Oryzias latipes: one gene and its partner. The protein of the gene in region 1 binds, or shares a complex with, the protein of each later gene. Links are inferred from orthologs where the notes say so. Each region holds a gene or a part of one and is shown on either strand. Other genes may lie near its edges.

What was found.
Region 2: the proteins of kpnb1 (region 1) and parathyroid hormone-related protein-like are in contact, whole or in part, in a crystal structure (PDB 1M5N), measured with the Homo sapiens proteins. The link is inferred for Oryzias latipes from reciprocal best matches to the Homo sapiens genes KPNB1 and PTHLH. Residues at the interface, in NP_002256.2 of Homo sapiens: Val55, Tyr104, Pro106, Gln111, Glu152, Tyr156, Gln159, Asn196, Leu199, Asn200, Gln239, Glu274, Gln278, Glu281, Asp288, Ile295, Ser298, Glu299, Asp339, Asp340, Trp342, Val350, Met353, Glu395, Trp430, Arg434, Glu437, Asn469, Trp472; in NP_945316.1 of Homo sapiens: Tyr103, Thr105, Gln106, Glu107, Thr108, Asn109, Lys110, Val111, Glu112, Thr113, Tyr114, Lys120, Thr121, Pro122, Gly123, Lys124, Lys125, Lys126, Lys127, Lys129.

Annotation. Positions count from the first base shown.
Region 1 is NC_019866.2:173,939-178,535, forward strand, and holds the start of kpnb1 (importin subunit beta-1), read right to left. Parts: upstream 3,062-4,597; 5' UTR 2,774-3,061; coding exon 2,734-2,773; intron 2,056-2,733; coding exon 1,997-2,055; intron 1,449-1,996; coding exon 1,266-1,448; intron 1,198-1,265; coding exon 997-1,197; intron 130-996; coding exon 1-129.
Region 2 is NC_019864.2:13,447,968-13,452,226, reverse strand, and holds parathyroid hormone-related protein-like, read left to right. Parts: upstream 1-1,357; 5' UTR 1,358-1,811; intron 1,812-2,022; coding exon 2,023-2,141; intron 2,142-2,676; coding exon 2,677-3,043; 3' UTR 3,044-3,716; downstream 3,717-4,259. UniProt on the Homo sapiens protein: Neuroendocrine peptide which is a critical regulator of cellular and organ growth, development, migration, differentiation and survival and of epithelial calcium ion transport.

The DNA of each region.
Region 1 (4,597 bases):
GAACTCCAGCGAGTTGAGAAGCGCGTTGGTGGCGGCCAGCTTCACGTTGTTGCTGGGCTCCTCCTTCCTCATGCCCTGGATGATGGCGGTCAGGATCTGGTTTCCGTTCTCCTGCAGCTGCTCCGGGTCCTGAGCACACGGGAAGCCGTTAGAACCTGCCGGGTTCTGACCCGCTTCCAGTCAAATGGAGGAACACAGAAGGTGAGCCAGAACATCCCAAGAACCCCAGAAAGTCCAGTGAGTTGGAACCTTTCCTGAGGTTTCAAACCAGAAAAACTCGATTCACCATTTTAAATCGGCCGCAGCGGCGCCGGTTCTGGACGCAGCGGCGCCGGTTCTGGACGCAGCGATTCTCCGACTTGGTTCTACCGGCTTAACCCTACGAAGCTGAAGAACCTCAGCAGTTTGATTGATCCTCTTTATTGATCTGAGCGTTTAGTCCACGTGATCAATACCTGAGACATCCATTAATCTCTGCTTGAAGCTGAATTTCAGACCTCAGAGGTCAAAGTTCAAATGACCAACAGACACATTTGAATAAAAACTGAAAACAAACTTCCACTTTGTGGCTAAATGTCACTTTTCACGCTGAAACATTCTGCTCTGTTTATTGACGTCTCATGGAGGCGGAGCTTAAATTCAAGTTTCTTCTTCCTTCCTGAAAAATATCTACCCTAAAGAAAAAACTGCAGCGAGATCCTGGAGGTTCTGACAAACGTACGGATCGGGCCGCCTGCTGAGACTCTGAAGGACGGGTTCTGATCCCACAAGAACCAAAGGTTCCTGACGTGATCGGTCCGAACCCGAACCGGGACGCAGACGGCAACGACCGAAGCGTCTGCTGCTTTGAGGAACCGGGAACGTAGAGAAACCAGAGGATGGAGGACAAACCGCCGTCTGATATCGATGAGGCCATGCAGCAGTGGGAGGGGCCCAGAACCCTCCAGAACCTGGAGAGGGCCCGGCAGGTCCCACGTGACGGGACGCGTCACTCACAATGTCCTGGCAGATGTAGCCGATGGCCTCCAGCGTGGACTCCTTCATGTGCTCGGTGCTGGACGGGTCCGTCACGTTGGCCACCAGCTGAGGGATCAGCTCGGGCCACTGGTTGACCGGGATCTCAGCGCAGGCGATGCCGGCGACGCACTGCGAGGCGGAGCTGGGCCGGTACGTCTCTGTGCCCAGAGTTTGGAGGACCTGCAGGAGAAACACGGACCCGGTAAGCTCCGCCCCCCGCTCAGACAGCCGCCTTCAGCAGCACTTACGTAGTTCTTGATCTCGCGGCGAGCATTGGCGTCGATGGCGAGCCATCTCTGCTGGTACTGCGTCTTCACGTCAGGATCTTTGGAGGTCAGGGAGTTCTTCACCTGCAGGCCCGCGGCCACCCGGGCCACCTGCGTGTTCCCCGGGTTTGCCAACACCTTGGAGAGCTCCACCAGGAAGGTGGGCTGGGGGGGGGAGAGAGAGAGAGAGAGAGAACGAGAACATCAGCGGGGGGCCTTCAGGCTCGGACCGCCGTGGAACGAAAACCTGAAGGCCCGCCCCCAAACCCAAAGGAGGTCCTGAGACCGAAGCCACTTCAGGGTTCTAGTCCAGACTCTGCCTGCAGCCAAAATCTCTCCCATCATGCTTTGCAGCATCATTACATACAGTCTGAGCATCACAGTAACGGCACAGGCGGGACTTCCTGGTTCCAAAAAGGTCACATGATGCCGCGTCATGCTAGCAGGTAAACCCACATCTGTTAGCATGACCGGAGGACGGAGAGCAGAAGTGCTTATGGCTTCACTCCCGTGACTGCAAAGCATTGTGGGATTGATCCTAGTCTGACCATCAAGAAGGGGGTTCCGGACCTCCTCTGGATTACTGGACTTTAGGGGAAACACAGGTCTTTGGGGGAGACGTCAGAGCTCACTGAGTGAGTGCGCGTGCGCCAGCTGATCACGGATGCTCCGTTCGCCCGGCCGCCCCGCACCGCCCCGCAGACCGAACTTACCAGGTTCTCCACCGCCGCCTGCTCCAGAAACTTCTGCGCCGCCTCCAGCTCATTCCGATCTGCGGAGAGAGGGCAGAGGTCAGCCAACGCCGGCCGGCCTGCAGCCGCACCGACGCCCGGGCCGGGTCGGCCCGGACATTTCCGCCATCACCTAATCAGTGGCCCACGTGGGCCGCGGACCTGAAAACAGAGCACGATGCGTTCACGGACTGCGTCTGAACCACGGGTAAAGCGCGCTAGATTAGCATGCTAGCATTGCTAAAGGCGCTCGTTAGGAGTCCGTTTGGTTCTCCAGACAGCCGCCGAACCCAGCCGAACCGGCCTTCAACAGCCAAGTGCTGGCAGCCTAACGCGCCCGCTGAACGCTCCCGCGAGGACGCTGAGGCTCGAGAAGGAAGCGGCTGCTAGCATTAAGCTAACGGCTAAAGCAGCCGCCGCGCCGGCATGGCATGGATGGGCAGGGTCGCTCCGGTAACCGGTCCTGCGGCTTCAGCCTGCGCTCCTGCTCGCCACCGCAAACCGGAAACTTCCCCGCCGCTGAGGGCCACAAATTTACCGGACTTTACCTGCTGGTGGCGGGGTTCCAACTGCACCGGCAACGCACGAATGACGAGTCCCGACTCAGGCCGGAGCCTTAGCACCGTTAGCCCTGCCAGCTAGCATCTGCCCGGTGTCCTTCCTGCAGACCCGGACCGCCAACCGGAGCCCAAACAGCGGACGGGCGAGTGGGCGCTTACCCGGAGAGACCGTTTTTTCCAGGATGGTAATGAGCTCCATGCCGCCGCCGCCGCTCTCGTCTCTCACACGTTCTGTAGCCGCGCACCGCCGCAGCGGATTATATTTCTTCCACGGTGCTCAGTCGGTGCCGTCGGGGCGAACTCGGTTCGCTGCGGAAAAGGCGGGAGCTCTCCGGTGTTCGCTCGGTGCTTCTGACTCGGATGATGCGGGGAAATGTTTACGATCGAGGCAAACAGCAGCGCGTCGAAGCTCCGCAGCCGCCCATCCGCATCCTGAATCGTCGGGAGGGAAAGGACCGCGCGTTTCACCCACGCGGAAGGATATCACGCACTGACGTAAAGACACGACGTGCTGCCTTCAGGGGGCGTGGGAGCTTTCAGGAGGCGATTTCTGGATGAAGTAGCGGAGAAAGGCTGTTTTTCTGACACTGCAGCACAACAGCTGCGTCGTTACTGCACGATGGATTTGTGCTTTTATTGAACATTTTACTGTTGGTAAAGATCTTCTGCTGAGTACAGGAAGAGGTCAGAGGTCAGAAACATGAAGTCTACAGCCAAACCTTCTGCAGGACAATGAAACACAAAGAATCCTCTGAACACATTCTTCTAGAGGTTTGGTTGACAAACATGACCGTCACTGTGAAATGTCAAAGTCCCGCTCCAATCCTCTTCTGATCTAAAGTCTTTTCACGATGATGTTACTGTTTTTAGCCAAAATCCAAACATCTGGGTCGTTTTCTTGGACTTAGTTTCTGCAGAGTGCCAGGAGTTCATCAGAAATTCACCTCTGGGTTGTGGGTGGGACTATTGGTGCAGAGTAAGCCTGCCCTCATTTCCCATCATCCTTTTGTTTATACTCTCCCCCTCTAGCGTACAGCCCCTCACACCCCCAAGCTAGCATTAGCGGTGCAGCAACATCAGATCCATCCATCCGTCCAGTTCAGATCCAGATTCCGGCTCAGACCAGGAAAACTGAGACCTTCATGGATCTGTTGGTCTGCAGAAGGGGGCGGAGCCTGGAGGCTTCTATGTCACCGCTCAAAGCTTGATCAAAGGACGTTTTGTCATCCGCTCCTGATTCACAAGGATCTGAATAAAGAAAGGGTCAGGAAGGCCGATCCAAAGTCCAGCATCAGAAAAACACCACAAACATCATTTTCACGGGTCTTTGACTGCTTCATCTTCAAACTCAGGGAAGAATATTCTGGATGGCGCTGAAGCACCATCTCCACTCCACGAGAAGGTGCTGCTGACCCCCCAGTCCTGAAGGAGCAGCGGCGTGGGATTCGCCTTGTTGCTGCAGCCGCGTCATCTCAGGCAGCTGGAGGACGGCAGCAAACAGGAAGAGCTTCCCCGTGGCGTTTTTGCAGGAAATGCGATTCGTCTGGTGATGGTTGCTCTTCATCACACAGCTGTCTGAAACCTTTTCCTCTATTTTCAGAGCTTAGTGTTTTTTGATTCTCCTCAGTTCCCTCCAGAAAGATCTCAACCGATCCACTTCAGGATCCTGTCAGGAGGATCTTCCAGCCAGGCAGTGACAGCATCACTCAGACCCTCTGCAGCTTTGATCGGTCCTCAGCAGAGGCAGCAGAACCTGGGACAACATTCCAGAGTTACTGAACGTTTGAGTGACAGCAGCTAAACCCGGAGGTCTAAGAGCCCCAGACGGTTTGTGGAACCTAAGAAGAGATTTGATGTAGAACCTAAACGCATAGAACTGGATTCCAACTGGGATCCAGTGAAGAACCTGCAGGGATGTTGGATCTGCTGCTGGTTCAAAGACCTGCAGCAGACGGAGCCGCTCTAGTCAGCTTCGGCAGACCATAATAATCCAGAGGAGATGAAACCACGTTTCAGGCTCCCG
Region 2 (4,259 bases), on another chromosome or scaffold:
AAGATTTCATGTAATCCATGGACACAGTGAGGTTCACAAATCATTGAAAAAAAAGGTTCAGCGCACTGTCTAGTGGGTCTAGATGACCCAACTCCCAATGTTAAAGTGCCTAGGAGAGCACAAGGGTTACATAACGAGAACTATTGGAGCTATCTAGCCAAACAGCTTTGAGCCAGATACCAGCTCAGACGAGGAAAACGAATATGTATGTGGATCTGTTCATCTGCAAGTAGATGCATCAGAATGGAGCAGAGCAGGTAGCTTGTGGTCCACTGATTGTAACGTCTACGTAAAATCTACAATCTTTTTCAAACAGTATTTTTTGTCTGCTCCTGATTTACAACAAGTTGAATAAATAAATACTCAGAAATGCAGTTTTAAGCTTAATTTTCAGAAAAATGCTACAAGAATGTTAACCCCCCCCCCAAAACACCATTTTCATCAGAGTAGGTCTTTAAGGATTATGACTCAAAATTAAATTACATTTATTTTTATTGTTAAAACACAGAAAATATCAGCAAAGTCTACAAAAATAATAATACAGAGGTATTTCTCATGATTTTAGAATCCACAGTTCAGAAGTCACAATTTACCCTTTAAAAATAAATTGTAATTCATTTATTATTTTATCTTTTTACAAGAATTTTTCTTATCTTTTTATCAGTGGAACCATTTTGGTCATTACTTTCCATTGACTTCCAAACTTTGGAGTGAGTTTCTACAGCACTCCCTGCTTGTTTGGCCCCAGATGCACCAATACAAATGTTGTAGCTTTAACGTTACACCGTTAACACCATGATGAATATTTAGGGTTTTGTTTAGGATCCAAACACTGAATTGGAGATTGAGTACTGCACTTTGAGGACCAAGCTCCCTAATTTTCTTGTTAGCTGAGAACCAGGGATCCCTCAGAAGCCACTGTGACCATCCGGTGGTGAGCTGAGGAGGAGTGGAGGTGAGCTGAATAGTCTGCAGTGAAGGGTTGTGGGTTGGGTTTCTCTGAGGTTATGGTCATTCTCCCATGGGAAAGTGGTTAGGCCAGGCTGTTTACCTTGGACTAAGTCTGGCCCTATCCTTAAACCGTTCATGCTTTACTTGGTAACTTTTGATTACTCAAAGTGAATGCACGGCTGAAATTGTAGTGCTTTTCGCTCTCATAAATGGAGTTAATTTTGAAAGTGCATTAATTATTTTTATATATAACACAAAATGTGCCTGTTTCATGGTATTATTCATGAGCGGTGATTTGTGTTTTGCGTAGATACCACCTTTGAGTCACAGCAGGTGTGTGTGAAGGTTGGGGGAGGGAGGTAGGTAGAAGGTTGGGCCGGGTGTTCGCGCTGGATAGGGGCAGAGGTAGAGCTTGCATCTTCACCAAAGTGGATTTTCTCTCAGTTGCTCTTCTCAGACCGACTCACACAGGCTGGACCGATTTCCTCAGCTCCGTTCTGTCCCAGAGAGGATGCTTCATTCAGACTCTTCATGAGATCACGGCAGAGCAGAGCAGAGTTGCTGCTCTGCAGCTGATGGGCTGCGCTCCTTCTATCTTTATCCCTCTTTCAATTTGGACACCGAGGAGAAATAAATAGCTCAACACACACTGTTGGGAGGCAAATGAATGGAGGAGACTCATGGGGAATTTCCCAAGGCTGTATTTACACCAATGGACCTGGACACAAGATCTGAATGGACCAAACTGCATTTAGCAGAATAGCTTTATCATTTTGTAACTATTTTTTTATTAACAGAAGACTATTGATTTGGACATTTTGTGGGCTTTCATCTAAAGGGAAAATAAAGAAATCCATTCTGTAAGTTCAAGTTTTTGCTTTTATGACAAATAGACCTTTTGCTAAAAACACCAAGTTTTACTCAGCGACTATTGTTTTGACACAACTGTAAAATAAGAACAAATCAAGCTGCAGGCAGATTCTTATAAGGAGGAAGACGTTTGGGCATAAAATTCGAAATAAAGTTTTGATCAAGCAGTGAAGTGACTGATGATATCACTGTGTTCTTCAGATGTTTGGCTCAAGCATGTGCTCTTTAGTATTGATTCATCAGTGGAGTCTGGCTGTGTTCTTGCTGTTCCCTCCAGTGACTCTCGATGGGAGACCAGTTGATGCACTTAATCACAGAACGTGAGTTCATTTTACAATAACTTTAACTTGATGAAAAGAATTTTACTAAAACTCATTTAGAAAAAAGGAGGAATTTTCAAAAGTCCAGATAATAAAAGTTTTTTTTAAAGAATTCCTGTTGTTTGTTTTAGCACTGCTCTGTCTTACGTTGACATTTTTAGGAAAGATTTTTTTTTCCCTTTCTTAGGTTGGTCATAAAGTCAGATTAGTGACAGGCCTCAGACATGTTTATGCTGCCACCTACTGTACTGAGGTTTCCTGAAGCCTGACGTTAAATTTCAGCTGCCACCACATCTAAAACTACAGGACACCGCAACTCAACACTGCGGTGTAAAGACATTTCAACAACATAAAAAAAAAGAACATTATTACTAACAATCTAAAAGAAATTAGGCAGAAAAGCGGATATTTAGGTGGAGTTCTTATGCTGGAGAAGTGACATGAGACACTTGATGCATTTATTTGGGCGAAAATACAATTTTACAGCACTAGTTGTGTTTAAAACATGCTGATCTGTCCGCATGTCTTCTGTTAGGAGGAGGTCAGTGAGCCACGTCCAGCTGATGCACGACAAAAGCAGATCCATGCAGGAGTTCAGACGGAGCATGTGGCTGCATGAGCTGGTGGGGGAGGTGAACACCGCTGATCGGCACGCACCACCCGTACAGAGCAGAACTCCTACACAAACTTTCAGCGGAAACTTTCCACATCAGAAGTCCCCGGGGGCAACCAAGAACCTCCCTGAGAAGTTCAAGGAAGACAGGGAGGGTCCTAACCTCCCCCAGGAGACAAACAAGGCCATGGCCTATAAAGAAGACCCTCTTAAAGTTGCTACTAAGAGGAAAAAGAAGGCGAGGTTAGGCCGGCGTAGAGAGAGTGAGAAAAAGAGGAGGCGAGCGTGACCTGCCATCACAAAGAGGCCATGAGGGACAGAAAGGCCTGACAGAAATATCCCCGGGACCTTTTCCATGGTGCTGCACTAAGACACTGACACTGACTGACTCATGCCTGACAGGCGGTTTATGGTGCCGGGGTTAAGCTTGTACTTTGTATTTTTGTTTCTTCGCATATCTTTTTAGCCTCATATTTATTTGGAGGACCTTCACACCTCTGTAACTCCATTATCCTTCAAAACTATTCTTTTGGAAACGAGTATTTATTTCTTTTCCATAACAACAAAAACAGGGGCACAAAGAGATGTGCTCTTTTCAGTGAATCAAAACAAACTTCTTGACTAACACATGCATCTGTCATAATTTATTACACTTTAAGTATGTATATTTATTTTGTGAATGTCTCAAGGTGCTGCTGACTAAATTCCCTTATGCACTTTAGTTCAATTCTGTTCATGTTCTTTTGTGGTTGGGTTACTGCTTTTCTGTCTTACTTCCCCATCTGTCATGGAGTCACAAGGTATTAGAAGAAGCATCAGACACACTCCCATTATTGCATAATGCTGTTGTTTTGAAAGAATGAGCCAGAGTCGGGGCTCTCGGATTCATTGGTCTGCATTTGCACTGAGGGAATGCTGTAAATGTTTCCAGTTAATCAAGTATTAAAAATGTAGCCTTTTGATTTATAGCGTCTTCATTTGCCAAACTTTAAACTGGGCTGAAGTGAATTTTAAAACCAAATGTTCTTTTTTGGTGTACACTGTTTGCTGGGCAGATTTTTAGATCAGGAAAAGCATAAATCCGTTTCAGATCAATGGAAAGAACCTCTTAACTTTTGTTACAAGAAGTAAAGTGAATTACTTCTCATCAAAAGTTACTTTAAATCTCAAACTTAAAGTTGGTTTTGAGTAGATTTTGATCATAAAAGCTGATAATTTACTGATATTGCTGATCATTTACATGTAGTTTAATGACAATTTGTAATGTGATGTGATGAATTTTTGTCAAGTGTCTGCTGCCCTAATCTTTAATGGTGTTTTATTTTTGATGTAATTTAGGGAGAAAATCAGACAATCAAGAAGATATGCAGCATGGAAATGTATCTGTTCACAAAAACAAGTGTCTAAAGCTACGTACACATGCTGCATATGTGGAGCATTAAAGCCTGCAGGTTTTTGAACATGCTTAGCATATGGTGTTCATACAACGGGATACTAATGCATGT